Linked DNA regions of Elephas maximus indicus. The protein of the gene in region 2 purifies or fractionates together with the protein of the main gene of each other region. This does not show direct contact. Links are inferred from orthologs where the notes say so. Each region holds a gene or a part of one and is shown on either strand. Other genes may lie near its edges.

Region 1 (7,855 bases), on a different chromosome or scaffold from region 2:
AATTATTGAGTCTAATCAGAGCAGACCTAAATAAGCTGGTGAGAACTACTCCAGCAAAACCATCTCTCAGGATCAGGCCAGAATAGTGTGGGTTTTCTGATGGGCGGAATAAATGAAGCAACATCAAACCAGTGCATTCCTTGGTTTTTCAGGTAGCATCACTTTAGAAAAAACAATTCCAGTAACACAAGTTTAGATTTAACCTGTCAGCAGTAACGTTTCAAAATAATTCCAGAACACTGAAACAATGCTTAACCTAATACAGCATTCAATTGCCCCCAAAACAGAATTTCACATTTTAAATGGCTTACCAAAAAACAGATGTATCATTTTGAGGTAAATTCTTTAGTTTTACTATACACAAAAAACCAAACCCATTGCCACTGAGCTGATTCCAACTTAAAACGACCTTAAAGGACAGAGTAGAACTGCCCCATAGTGTTTTCAAGGCTGTAAATCTTTATGGAAGCAGACTGCCACATCTTTCTCCCACAGACCAGCTGATAGGTTTGAACCGCTGACCTTTTGGTTAGCAGCCTAGTGCTGTAACCACTGTGACACCAGGGCTCATCTTATTATATGATCAAAAAAGTTTAAACTATCTTAGCACATTACCATTTTAACAGGTCACCTTTTAGGTTTTTTGGTTTTCACATAGTTCCAGCCAATATTTAAAAATGTAGTTAACACTGCAGAGATTTTTCATATTGCTGCACATTCTCTGTAATCTTATTTGGTATAATATAATCATGTTCAGTTACTTTTATATGTTTACGGTGACTTAACATGAACAGAGTCACTCCCTCCCCACCCCCCACCTCCCTTAAAAAAAAAAAAAAACAGAAAGGAAGAAAACAGGAACGAGATTACACTCTAGGGAGGAAACCTTTATCATTTAAGTGTGGGGATGCAGAATTGAGCTTTTTGCACCCTTCACCATGCTACAAAATTAACTATGAGACAACTGCCAAGTATTTCCTAAAACCTTTCAAGAAGCTCCAGTGGATTTCTGGATTTGTTCCTTTAAAATCAGGATACTCTGCCTTTGCTCAGGAGGCAGCATGGCAATCTGATCTGCAGTCAGTTGAAGAACCTGCATGATCAAAGCTGCTTTTTCTTGATCCTGTGGAGTTACCTGGCTCTGAGCAGAACTAAAATTGCTAGGTTGGCCTCCACCTTGCTTGCCTGCCCCCTGCATGCCTCCTCCTTGCATTCCCGTCCCCTGCATGCCTCCTCCTTGCATTCCTGTCCCCTGCATTCCCGCCCCCTGCATACCTGCTCCCTGCATGCCTCCTCCTTGCATTCCTGCCCCTTGCATGCCCGCTCCTTGTATGCCTGATCCCTGCATGCCAGCACCAGGATTTCCTACTCCTGAAATGCTTGGGACCTGTCTGGGTCCCTGAGGCCCACTTGCCCCCATACTAATGGGACCAGGACCCTGGAGGCCAGTGGTCATCGGGCCTCTCGAACTGGGGCCAGGGCCCCTTATCTCCATTCCTCTTGCATCCATGCCTCTAGCTTCCATCCCTCTGGCTTCCACTGTACAGGTCTCCATTCCTCTTCTCTCCATTACTCGTGCTTCTAAGACCTCAGTTTCCATGGCTCGAGTCTCCACCCCTCGAGAATCTCTGCTACCTCTACCATCCATGGGAAGACCTCTTTGATCCATCATGGGTACTCTGGGTTCTCCAATTAGCAGCCTGGGATCTGCTATTGGCCCACCCCTCATATCATGTGAGGAAGGGCCACGGCTGTCATGACCAGAGGCATGGTGCATGGGAGGACCCTGATGGGGTGGGCCCATGTAACCTCTGGGCTCTACTTCCCCAGTGACTGAAAGCAAAGTCCCTCCACGTGGGTCATTTGGAGCATCTCCTAACAGTCCTCGAGGAGGAAGGCCAGCAGCAGTCATGGGTCCACGAGGCATAGGTGCTCTGGGATCTGTCATTTGCACTTGAGCCCGCTCTAAAGGCACCGGGCCAACTCCTGGCATTCCAACTTGGGGCTGCATTCCTCCTCCAGGAGTTAAGGAACCAGGACCAGGACCGGGAATAGGAGCTGAGATCGGCCCTGGGGCTGGAATGCCACCTTGGATAGGTGTCTGCATCAGAGGAGGAATGTCCTTCACAGGTCTTCTAGCCAAATGCTGAGGTTGAGGGGCGGGAGGATTCTGCTGGTTCAACAGAACATTAGGGCCTGGGCAGAGGCCAGGGCCAGGGCCAGGGCCAGGGCCAGAGACAGACTGAGATTTGCCTGGGATAAGCGGCGTGACATGAATCTTACGATGCAGAATTTTCAGAGCAATCTCTGGATCCATTATTCTCATCACCACTTGTGCCTGCAACAGCGCGTAAGCCAGCTGTGGGTTTTGCAGCAGCATGTTTCGAGCTTCCTGGTGACTGTTTTGGACACAGAGCTTCATCTGCTTCATCAACTCAAACATCTGCTCCGGGGGGAGGCTGGCAACTGCTCTGGTTATTGATTCAGGGGCATCTTCCGGATCGATGGGGTCCCCATAGGGTGAGTCAATGATGGGCGCTGCAGGCCCTAGACTCTTTAACTCCTCCTTATTTTTTTCACTGGCAGCATTGTCCACCCGGAGCGCTCTCCCGCTGAACTCCCGCCCATTAAGGTTCCGCATGGCACTAAGCGCGGTCTCCTGGTCTTGATACTCGCAGAAACCATAACCCTTGGGTTTTCCCGTCTCTCTATCGTACACCAGCCGGAAACTGACAACGGAACCAACCTCAGAGAAAATGTCCTTTAACTGCTCCTCAGTTGCCTCATACGGAATGTTCCCCACGAACACGGAACGCAGTGATCGATCCATTGCCGGGTCTCTCACCACCAAACTCGACATGATGCCGGTTGTTCACACACAGGATAACCGATTCTTCTACGAGTCGTCCTCCTGCGACCTACACTTCCGGCGAGCAACGGAAATAGCTCTCAAAATCCGGGCAGAAACCTCACTGTGCACTTGAGGCGTTCCGCTTATTCATGGAAGCCGCGCCTCTGCGTTCCACTAATACAGCTAATGCCTTTCCGCCCCTGGTCCTTCGTGCTTCTGTCTACTTATTACTGAAACGCATGATTCCTTTCCCGTCTTTTATCCTGTAGATTGTCCATGGAGCCCCCCTCTTACCAGTATAGGCTTGGTGTGAGTTGACCACAGTAAAGATGGCCGCAGGGACTACGTTATGGTAACAGGGAGAGACCGCCTCCCTTGACGTCAAGGGTGGTTGTGTTTCCGTTGGACGGGCGGGGACCGCTAACCGAAAGCTGAATAAGGCAACGTGTGCTTCGTTTGGATGTAAATACGTTCTTGTAACCGTTGCTGCATACCGTAGGGTATTTAAATTATATATAAAAATCTCGTCTCAGATTACGAGGAAAAAGTGTAGTCGTTGCGAAGCACATTTGAGATTTGCCCCTTAGATTAAGTAATAGTTTCTTGGGAGGGGGGAGGGGAAGGAAAATAACTGCACGTAAATATAAGCCGAACTCGTGTGTCAGCTCTCCCCCTCCCCCATCCTGTTGCTTCAGGTAACGGCTGTTAACGGGTGACTTCCAGATTCTTCTCTTTGCACGCGGGCAGTGGTCATGCTATTCAGAGTTTTAAATATATGTATACACATATATATTAATTGACAGTATTAATGACTAATAAAATGTATTGCTGCAGAGTATTAATACATTCATGTAACTATTATATTGATAGGCATTTAGGTTGGTTTTAATTTTTTTATTGTTAAACTGATGCAATGAGTTCACAACCTCTACTGTGAAGGAGAAAACAGCTAATTTTGTAAGGAGTTTAGTTTTGTAAAGGAGCTGCTGGGACAGGGGTTCAGAGCTTGGCTGCGAACTGAAAGGTGGTAGTTCAAACCCATCTGTTGCCCTGTGGGAGGAAGATGTGGAAGTCTCCTCCATAACGATTTACAGCCTTGAAAACACTGTGGGGCAGTTCTGCCCTGTTCTATAGAGTGCTGTGAGTCAGAATAAACTCGGTGGCAAAGAGTTTGGGGTTTGGATTAGTTTTGCAGGCGGAAGTTGAAACACATTAAATGTGGGTTCCTGTCCCTATTTAAGAGACTATAAGACCGAATGTGGAAAAGGTTAAACTGAAACTTGGAAAAAAGGACTAGGTAAATTGTCCAAGGTCTGGAAGCCAGTAAAAGGCAATCGTCCTGAGCTGTTCTGTGCCATATAGTAGCAACTAGTTCACAGGGCTTTCGAGTACTTGAAATGTGGCTAGTGTGAGTGAGGAATTTAAGTTTTTAGCTTCTTTTTAATTAATGTGAAACTGATACTCCACTTGGCTGTTGGAAAACTTTTAAATATGTTTGGAACAACTTGGGTGTGTACTTTTACGTCGATAAATTTTATGAAATCTAAGTATAAATTAAGGATTTCTAATGAAAATTTAACGTTCTAATTGAGATGTGCTATCTGTGTAAAATACATGCAAGATTTTGAAGACTAAGTACAAAAAAATAAAAATATCTCACTAGTGATTTTAGAAGAAAGGATGGTGAGACTATGTCTCACATACTTTGGGCATGTTATCAGGAGGGATCAGTCCCAGGAGAAGACATCATGCTTGGTAAAGTAGAGGGTCAGCGAAAAAAGGAAGACCCTCAATGAGATGGATTGACACAGTGGCTCCAACAGTGGGTTTAAGCATAGCAACAATTGTGAGGATGGTGCAGGACCGGACAGTGTTTCCTTTTGTTGTGCATGGGGTTGCTGTGAGTCGGACCCGACTCTGTAGCACCTAACAGCAGGTGATTTTATATTGTTTTCATGTTGAAATAATGTCATTTTGATATATTGGGTAAAATGAAATATATTTTTATCAGTAGCATCACTCATTTTTTTTAAACATGCCTATTAGAAAGTTTAAAATTACTACATGGATTACATTATGTCTGTTGTAACCCGATGAGGGTGGGTTCTGCCCGGTGCAACCCCTTGAGTCAGTTGAGAGACACTAGGCCTTTGAGAAGAAAAAAGTAGGCTTTACCGCAAGCCAGTCAAGCATGGAACTTGGAGACTAAAGTCTCAAATTAATCTCCCCAAAGTTGGGAATTCTAGGGCAGTTATAGTGTTCAGGATAGGAAATTTATGCATAATTCACCAAGTTTTTGGGAATAGCTGGGCAATTTCAGGAACTAATGGGTGCAGTGGGGGGTGCAATATGGTGACTGGGGCCATGTGTTTTTGGAGGAGTGTGATGCATGAAGTTCATTTAAGAACAGCTTTGTGGCTTATTGCTCATGTCTGAATGGAGGGGTGGGGGACGGTTGGTGAGTAGTGTAATGGCCTTGAGCAGAGAAGCAATAAGATGACCTTGGGCTGTAACACAGAAATGTCTTATCAGGAACTCACGGGTTGGGGGGATTGGTGGGAGGAGGGGGAACAGTTTAACTCTGTCCCTTACATTATGGACAGCGCTGCTCCAGTAACCCAAGCCTTAACTGCGAGGCAGAGAAACACTTTATTCTAACTATGTCTTTTGGGAGAATTATGAAACTTTAAGTTTCAGCAGATATTGGGTCACATATCTGAATAGATCTGATGAGTATAATGGCATAACCACAAAACCAAGCAGCCATTTACCCCTCAAAGGCTCTGTTATTGTTAGTTACCTTGAGTAGTCTTTCATTCTTGCAGCCTTATGTATAACAGAAAAAAAATTTTAGTAGTTCTTTAAAACGAGTTTAGATACAGATATCCTCCCAAGACACAGGGCAACTTATATGGCAAGTACGGCTGAGAACCGGTGCCTTCTGGTTTGAACCTCTGGCTGAGAATTTGCAATTCTAACAAGTTCCCGGTTGATGCTAATATTGGTGGTTAGGGACCAACCCTGAGAAGCACTAGTAGAGCAGTGGTTCTCAAAGTTTATTATATGAAAGAATCACCTGGGGATCTTGTTAAACTGTAGATTCTGATTCAGTGTGCCTGGGGTAGAAATGCAAATTCTGAGCAAGAGCTCAAACCAGAACAAACTGGTTTGAAGCTCTGATTGCAAGTAATATGGGGTATTTATATAACCTAATGAATTTTTTTTTAATGAAAACTTCCTGTTTCTTTAGAGAAACAGAATAGCCACCTACTAGTAATGTTTTGTGTGTGTGTGTGTGTGTGCGTGTGCGTGTGTGTGCGCGCACATGCGCGATTTATTTGGGGGTGAGAGAGAGGAGAGGAAAGGGAGAGAATTGAGGATATCACTGAGGAAAACTTTAAAAAGGAGCCCGTTAGTCTCTTTTCCATACATCCCTTTACAAAGAGAAGCCATGCCTTTTTACCCACATTCTATCAAGGAATTTAGACATTGGTTGTGTGGGTGACTGATTATGTGTATTGAATGTAGGAATCAAGGGGATGGTAAGAGGGTATCAGAGTAAACTGGTTGTATAGTTGATAGAAGGTTGTGTACCTCAGTCTAATAGTGAATTTTCTTTCTTTCTTTCCTTTTTTTTTTTTTTTTTTTACTGCTGATGATACCAAGAAACCAAAACAAACCTGTTTCCATTGGGTTGATTCCAACTCATAGTGAGCCTGTAGGAGAGAGTAGAGCTGCCCCAGAGGGTTTCCAAGGAGCCGCTGGTGGATTTGAACTGCCAACCTTTCTGTTTATAGCCCAGTTCTTAACAACTGCCCCACCAGGGCTCCGCTGCTGCTGCTGATAGTATCTAAACCAGTGGTTCTGACACTTGTGCATTTATCAGAATCACCTGGAACCAGGATTTGTAAAATCAGATTGACGGGCCTCACTCCATTCCTTCCCAGTTTCTGATTCAGAAGGTCTGGAATGGGGCTGGGGAATTTACATTTCTAACAAGTTCTCAGGTGATACTAATGCTGGCAGGTCTTGGAACCACAGTTTAAGAACCACTGGTCCAAACAAAGAACTTGAAGTGTTTTTCTTCATTCTCATCAAACCAAACTAAATTTAGTATGCTCCACTAAAAGATATGAGGTCTGGGTGCTTTTTTTTTCAATCCATTAATTTGTTATGCTCGTGTAGTATAGCTGGGACATGCTGATCTCACACTGAAGATACCCTAGCTTCAAAAGATGGGTGAACACAGAGTAGCTGAGGAACTCGGGAAACAGGCAAACATAAGAGTTTGCTTTTTGTTACAGAATTTCCATGTACTCTTTAGTCCCCCTCTTCCTAACTAGAAGAACGGTGAGTGATGCTTTGATATGGCCCTTTCATAGAAGGCCAGTGTGACTTAGTACATATCTGAATGCCTGGAACACGTAAACTAATATATTATTAACTGAGAGGCCCAGAATCACCAAGAGCTCTTAAAAACCTGTGTGCATTTCCTGGTGTCAATACACACTTTTCATAGGTCTATCTTGGAAAAACATCCATTTTATATTCCTTTTTTCTATGCATGGTATATATTCTGAAGAAAACATGCAAGGCATTTTGCATGCCCAGATGTCTATTCTTTTAATAGACCAAGATATCAAATACCCTAAGATTGATATTTTTATAATTTTTATTGTGCTTTAAGTGAACGTTTACAAATCAAGTCAGTCTCTCACACAAAAACCCATATACGCCTTGCTACACACTCCCAATTACTCTCCCCCTAATGAGAGAGTAAAAAAAAAAAAAAAAAAAAGTTTTTTTTTTTTTAAATGAGACAGCCTGCTCTCTCTCTCCACTCTTTCTTTTTGTGTCCATTTCGCCAGCTTCTAACCCCCTCCACCCTCTCATCTCCCTTCCAGCCAGGAGATGCCAACATAGTTTCAAGTGTCCACCTGATCCAAGAAGCTCACTCCTCACCAGCATCCCTCTCCAACCCATTGTCCAGTCCAATCCATGTCT
Region 2 (7,644 bases):
GTCTAGCTTTTTAGCACGTTTTCAAGGTTCATCCATGTGGCAGCGTATCAGTACTTCTTTTACTTGCCAAAAACATTCAATTGCATGACTATACCACTTTTGTTTATCCATTCATCAGTTGATGAGCCCTTGGGTTGTCTCCATTTTCTATTATGAATAAGCTGCTGTGAACATTTGTGTACAAGTTTTTGTGTGGATGTATGTTTTCATTTCTCTAGTTGCATCATAAACCCAACCCATTGCCATTGAGCCGATTCCGACTCACAGCAACATACTCATAGCATCATACAACTGCTAAAGTATCCTAGGAATGGGATTACTGGGTCATATGTTTTTAACCTTTTGAAGAACTGCCAGACTGCTTTCCAAAGCAGCTGCACCATTTTACAATCCCATCAGCAGTATATGAGAGCTTCATTTCTCTACAGTGTCACCAACAACTGTTACAATGTTTTTACTGAAGCCATCCGTGTGGGTATAAAGTGGTGTTTCCTCCACTTTTAAACATAAATATTCTTTAGAGGCTCTTTTTTAAAGAAACCCTCTAACTCCACTCTCATTATACAACACTAAGGTATCTGGGAAGAGTAGTCCGCGTATCTATGCACTTGTATGTTTGAGTTGTTCTGAAATTTAGATTAAGTTCCTGGCTCTTTGTATATGTTCTGTACACGATACTCATACCCTTCTAGTAACCAGGGAGAATCTCACATATTAGTTCATCTCATTTTGAATCCAAATAAATATAAACCAGATTGAAATTATAACCAAAGTGCATCATACAATCAAAAATGATAATGAACTGTAAAAGCAGTAATCTTTTGGTTCCCTTATTTAACATTTTTTTAAAATCAGGTTTATAATCTTTCTTAGTAGACTTATGGTTACACTATATAGGACACCATTGTTGTTGTTTGTTAGCTGCCATCCAGTTGATTCTGCGTCATGGGGTAGAACTGCTCCATAAGGTTTTCAGGGCTGTGACCTTTCGGAAGCAGATCACCAGGCCTGTCTTCCGAGACACCTTTGCGTGGGTTCAAATCACAAACCTTTCAGCCAATAATCAAGCATATAACCATTTGCGCCACCCAGGGACTCCCCTATAAAACACCATATAGCTCCTGAGGAATAAAAAGTTACTAGTGAAAAGTTACAAACCCTAACCTGAAGAACTGCTCCCTTAACTGCTAACAAACAGAAGTGGTATGAGATTAGGTCCTGAAATAAGAATAAACCCGTAAGGATTCAATGTCTTCTGAACTTTAGTCCAACTATTGTAATCACATCAATTATTAAAATGAAATAATTCTGACAATTCCACTGCCAGAACCACGGCATCACACAACTGCTCAAGTAACAACAGGATATTTCACTAACCTGGCATTTTCTTCTTCTGGCCTTTCAACTTCATTTTCATCTACAAAAAAAAAAAATAGTAATAAATAAATAAGCAAGCCACTCTTAAAGGAACTAGTATTATGAAAATCTGAAGTGATCATCACAAGCACTAACCTAGGTCCTTTGCCATATCACTGTGCACATGCACGTCCCATGGGCCTATAAGCACATCCAAAGTTAGATCACCTTATAATCATTTAACAGATAAGTCTCTAATGGAAAAAAAAAATCACCTTACTTCTATAAAAATAAGCTTTGTTTAAGAAGTATTGAAGCTATCCAGATAGTCTACAAAAGAAACCCTACACGTTCCCGTTTCAGACAATACTAGGTTGAATGCTAAATCTTTTGACCAAAGATAAGGAATTTATTTTACAACTGTTATCAAAAGTTTATCCAAGTCACATCAGCACTAAACAGCATGGTACACAAACGTGCACTTTTACTGCACACTCCTAAAGCTAATCAAGAATTTAAATTTTAGGCAAAGAATAAACAATAATTTTCAAAACTGGTGTCGGTAACAGCTGAGAAGAAACTGTTACTTAAAGTTAAAAAAAAAAAAAGTCAAGCCCTTTTGAAGAGGGAACCACAAGACGCATTAAATTTGAGAAAACTACGAAATGATATTGACAACTATTATCCTAAGGGACCTGAGGTACTTCTATGATAAGGGTTAAAGAGCAATCTCTTTTTAAAAAAAAAACACAAAAACAAAAAACACTTCACCTTAACGCAGGGATTTTTCAGGGTTTTCTTTAAGGGCCATAACATGTAATCCATCTCTCTCTTTTTAAGTTATTTTTAAAGCACGACTTTCAGACAAAGAGGTACCCTTGCAGGTGCATTCCATACAAACTGACCATTAAGAAACAAGACGTTAGTTTTGCAGCATTAACTTTATTGAGCTATTATTACAGAATGACTTTCTAAAACAAGGGACGGGAATGGTATCCCACAACCAAGGGGCCAGAAGGGACAAACCAATACACCTCAGAATCGATATGAAACACTGGTGTAAAGAGCGCGGAGGCCAGACGGCGGAGCAGTCTCGGTGCAGAGGCGCGCAAAGCTCCACCGCACGGGCCCCGACCCGCAGCTGCTGGCTTCGGAGGGCCCGGTAGCCAGCGGCTGCAGGGTGAGTGCCTGCTGGGGTCCTGGGCTGGGCTGGGCGGGCTGCAGGCCAAGGAGAAGGGAAGCAGGGGGTAGGGTGGCGCGCAACATGGTAGGCCTAAACTCAGGCCCAAGCCTGAGGACCCGGGACGCCGGCTGTTTGCGGGCCGGGAAGGGAGGCCTGAGATAAACCCCGGAGAAAGAGACAGGGACAGGAAGTTCCGTACCGCCATAGAGCCACTCTTCTTCCTCATCCCCTCCGGTCCCGCCGCTCAGCTCCGACACTAGGCGCTCGACCTCGCCGGCCGACATGGCCGCCCCGAGCACAACTTAAAGGCGGCGATCAACAGCCCCTCAAACCCCTTCCCCAGCCTCGCTGCTTAGGGGCGCGAGAGGGGCGCGAACCCCGCAGAGACAGGACGAAGAAAGCGCGCGACTTAAATCCAGGAAAGGCAGCACAGGCGGCAAACATGAAGACCCCTGCGCAGGTTCGTCTGCGCACGCGCACCAGTACCCGAGCGGTACGGCGTCTCTAGATGGCTTCGCTTCCGCGGCGGCGGCCACCTGAACCTGGTTGCGCATGCGCCGGCGGTTGCCCCGCCCCTATGGAATGCCGCTTTCCTGTTGAGTTTAGTCTTGCGTGTGCTTGTGTTCGCTTGCACAGGTGTTGCTTGTAATAGTCCGTATTGCGTTTGCCAGCAAGTACACCATTGTTCCCTTTTTTTTTTTTACCCTTGATGCTTTGTCTTCCCAAACATTTTTTTTTAATCTTAAGAAAGGCTTTTTTTATCCTTTACAAATTATATCAGCCTTGTTAGAAAATTGCTACTCTAGTCCCGTTTCTCAGAGATGATAATTCATTCCACTTTTTAAAAAATACTAATTTTAGCGGCAAACATTAATATGAATAATACATTCCCTTTGTTGAACAGAGGTGCACGCGCACACACACACATGCACACGCACACACACACAAAACAACCTTAAGGTTAAGGTTTGAGCACTTTCATCCACTACCCCCCTTACTAGAGTAACCACTGATATACACCATTGTGAAATATTCTTTGCTTCACACATACAGTTTTGGCGGGGCTACCTGGGGTTGGCTGGTGTCATGGATTGCATTGTATCCCCCCAAAATAACTGTCAACTTGTCTAGGCCAAGATTCCCAGTATTGTGTGATTGTCCACCATTTTGTCATCTAATGTGATTTTCTTATGTGCTGTAAATCTTATCTGTATGATGTTAATGAGATGGGATAAGCAGTAGGTAAATGCTAATGAGGCAGGACTCAGTCTAAAAGATTAGGTTGTGTCTTAAACCAATCTTTTTTGAGGTGTAAAAGAAAGAAGTGAGCAGAGAGACATCAGGACCTCATACCACCAAGAAAGAAGCAGTGGGAGCATAGCATGTCCTTTGGACCTGGGGTCCCTGCGCTGAGAAGCTCCTTGGCTGGGGAAGATTAATGACAAGGACCTTCCCCTAGAGCCAACAGAAAAAGAAAGCCTTCCTCTAGAGCTGACATCCTGAATGTGTACTTCTAGCCTCCCAGACTATGAGAAAATAAATTTCTCTTTGTTAAAGCTATCCACTTCTGGTATTTCGGAAACCCTGGTAGTGTAGTGGTTAAGTGCCATGGCTGATAACCAAAGGGTCAGCAGTTCGAATCTGCCGGGCACTCCTTGGAAACTCTATGGGGCGGTTCTACTCTGTGCTATAGGGTCACTATGAGTCGGAATTGACTCGACGGAAGTGGGTTTGGTTTTCGTGGTATTTCTGTGATAGCAGCACTAGATGACTAAGACAGCTGGTCTTAGTATAGTATTGTATGTTATTCTGTGACTGACTTTTTTTTTTTTTTAACTCAGCAATGTCTTAGAGATCTTTCCCATGTTAGTATATATAGAACTATGTCCATTTTTAAATGTTTTATAATATTACTTGGACACCTGGTGGCTTAACTGGTTAAGTGCTACGGCTGCTAACCAAGAGGTCGGCAGTGAGAATCCGCAAGGCACTCCTTGGAAACTCTGTGGGGTAGTTCTACTCTGTCCTATAGTGTTGCTCTGAGTCGGAATCGACTTGATGGCAGTGGGGTTTTTATGGGTATCACAATGTGACTATAGCTGTACCCATATTGATAAACTTCCAACTTTTAATTTTTACCACAAAAAAATTACGATGAAGATCCTTGTAAATGACCTTTTGCAGATTTTTACAAGTGTTTCTCCAAGATAGATCATGAAATATGTGATTTCAGTTTAATACAAATAATAAAAATTAAATGGTTTGTATTTTAATAAATAACACCAAATTTTCAGGCCACTTTTGAGAACGTATTTTCCAAGGAAAAAACAAAACTAGGGTCATGGTTCTTAACTATGATTAGCTAGTTGCATGACCTAGTATAGTCAAACTATGTTTCAGTTTTTGCAGCTATAAAATAAGAAAACTGAATAAGATGATCTCTAAGATCCCCTTGGGAAGAAAGGCCTAGCCATCTACTTCAAAAATCAGCCAATTAATACTCTATGGATCTCAATATTCTGATCAACAACCAATCATGGAGATGGTGCAGGAAAGGGCGGCTTTCATTTCCTTGTGCATGGAGTCACCCTGTGTCTGTGAGGGGTGGGAGGTGGGGAATACTTGATGGCAGCTAACAACAACAAAGTCCCTTTCTGTTCTAAAGTTTCCAAACGGAACACTCACTTTTGAGCAGAAGGATATCCGTTTTAGTGTTACAAATTTAGCAACGGGCTTTCTTTCTCTCTAATCAATAAATACTGTTCTTTTATTTATTTATTTGTTACTGAATATCTGCAGTATTTAATAATTTGAAAATTACAGACATGATCCTTAAAAAGCTTTCAGTTTATTGAGAAAGAAGGGTGGGAAATAATTAGCACACCTACAAGGGAAAAGGCAGATGGGCCATATTAGAAGTACAAGTGAAGTGTTTTTACTCCATGAAAACCACACCATTTCATGTTATTTAAACAAACCATGTGGTTTAAATCCCCCCTACATGGGGGGTTGCCATGAGTCTAAATCAACTGGACGGCAACAACAAAACAAACTTTGAATACTCCTCTACCTGCTATTCCCAGTCTCCCTTATCCATTTAGGATAATCTCTTGCATCCTTCTAAATTCTGTTGTGGTATAATGCCCTTTGTGAAATCTTTCATGAATTCTCTTTCATCTCCTCTCATTTATTTATTTATTCAATATATATTTTTAGAGTCTACCAAGTGCCAGATACTATTCTAGGTTCTGTAGATTCAGTAGTTAGTAAAACAAAGTTATTTTTTTCATGGAGCCTTCATTCTAACAAGGGAGACAGATGATAAACATGTACAGTCATAACACCTGCAGTGGTGGGAAGGATTAGGAAGAGTAAGCAGGATAAGGGGACCCAGTTGTTGTTGTTAGGTGTTATCAAGTCAGTTCTGACTCATACCCACCCTATGTACAACAGAAGGAAACACTGCCCAGTCAGTCCAGCCCCATTGTCACAATCATTGTTATGTTTGAGCCGACTGTTGCAGCCACTGTGTCAATCCATCTCATCGAGGGTCTTCTTTTTCGCCGACCCTCTACTTTATCAAGCATGATGTCCTTCTGCAGAGACTGATCCCTCCGATAACATGTCTGTCATGGATTGAATTGTGTCCCCCCAAAATGTGTGTCAACTTGGTTTGGCCATGATTCCCAGTATTGTGTGGTTGTCCTCCATTTTGTGATTATAGTTTTATGTTAAAGAGGATTAGGGTGGGATTGTAACACCCTTACCAGGCCACATCCCTGATCTAGAGCAAAGGGAGTTTCTCTGGAGTGTGGCCTGCACCACCTTTTATCTTACAAGAGGTAAAAAGAAAGGGAAGCAAGCAGAGAGTGGGGACCTCATACCACCAGGAAATCATCACCGGGAGCAGAGCACATCCCTTGGACCCAGGGTCCCTGCACCTGAGAAGTTCCTCAACCAGGGGAAGATTGAGGACAAGAACCTTCTTCCAGAGCCAACAAAGAGAGGAGGGCTTCCCGTGGAGCCGACGCCCTGAATTTGGACTTCTAGCCTACATACTTTGGACGTGTTGTTAGGAGGGATCAGTCCCTGGGGAAGGTCATCTGTGGTACATAGGGTCGCTATGAGTCTGAACCGACTTGACGGCACCTAACAACAACAACCTACTAGACTGCGAGAAAATAGATTTCCCTTTGTTAAAGCCATCCACTTGTGGTATTTCTGTTATAGCGCACTAGATAGCCAAGACAGTCTCCAAAGTTTGAGAGACATAGCTTCGCCATCCTTGCTTCTAAGAACATTCCAGCTGTACTTCTTCCAGACAAATTTGTCTGTTCTTTTAGCAGTTCGTGGTACATTCAATATTCTTCTCCAACATCACAATTCAAAGGCATCAACTCTTCTTCCATCTTCCTTATTCATCATTCAGCTTTTGTGTGTATATGAAGCGATTGAAAACACCATGCCTTGGGTCAGGCACACCTTAGTCTTCAAGGTGATATCATTTCTTTTCAACACTTTAGAGAGGTCTTTTGGAGCAAATTTTCCCAGTGCAATGGATTTGGTTTCTTGATTCCTGCTTCCATGGTTGTTGATTGTGGATCCAAGCAAAATGAAATCCTTGACAACTTCAATCTTTCCTCCATTTATCATGATGTTGCTTATTGGTCCAGTTGTGAGGATTTTTGTTTTCTTTATGTTGAGCTATAATCCATACTGAAGGCTGTGGTCTTTGATCTTCATCAGTAAGTGCTTCTGGGGACCCAGAGTAGAGTGATAAAGAGGAATGGGATGCAATTTTATATGAAATGGTCAGGGAAAGCCAATCTCATAAGGTGATATAAGAGAGCTGAATGGACCAAGGACATAATCCCTGTGGGTTTCTAGATGCATAGACTATCAGATAGAGGGAGTAAGAAATGCGAAGACTCTGAGGCGGAAGCACTATTGGCATGTTCAAAACCAAACCAAACCAAACCAAACTTGTTGCCATGGAGTCAATTCTGTAGTGACCATACAGGACAGAGAAGGACTGCCCCATAGGGTTTCCAAGGCTGTAAATCTTTTACGGAAGCGGACTGCTGCATTTTTCTCCCGCAGCTGAT

The links. The genes of interacting proteins can lie anywhere in the genome.
Region 1: the proteins of FIP1L1 (region 2) and CSTF2T purify together in Homo sapiens (co-immunoprecipitation; 3 studies listed by BioGRID and IntAct, with this or other methods). This does not show direct contact. The link is inferred for Elephas maximus indicus from reciprocal best matches to the Homo sapiens genes FIP1L1 and CSTF2T.

The regions. Positions count from the first base shown.
Region 1 is NC_064834.1:36,488,866-36,496,720, reverse strand, and holds the start of CSTF2T (cleavage stimulation factor subunit 2 tau variant), read right to left. Parts: upstream 3,020-7,855; 5' UTR 2,861-3,019; coding exon 989-2,860; 3' UTR 1-988. UniProt on the Homo sapiens protein: May play a significant role in AAUAAA-independent mRNA polyadenylation in germ cells. Directly involved in the binding to pre-mRNAs.
Region 2 is NC_064823.1:108,330,138-108,337,781, forward strand, and holds the start of FIP1L1 (pre-mRNA 3'-end-processing factor FIP1), read right to left. Parts: upstream 3,022-7,644; 5' UTR 2,824-3,021; coding exon 2,739-2,823; intron 1,558-2,738; coding exon 1,513-1,557; intron 1,418-1,512; coding exon 1,378-1,417; intron 1-1,377.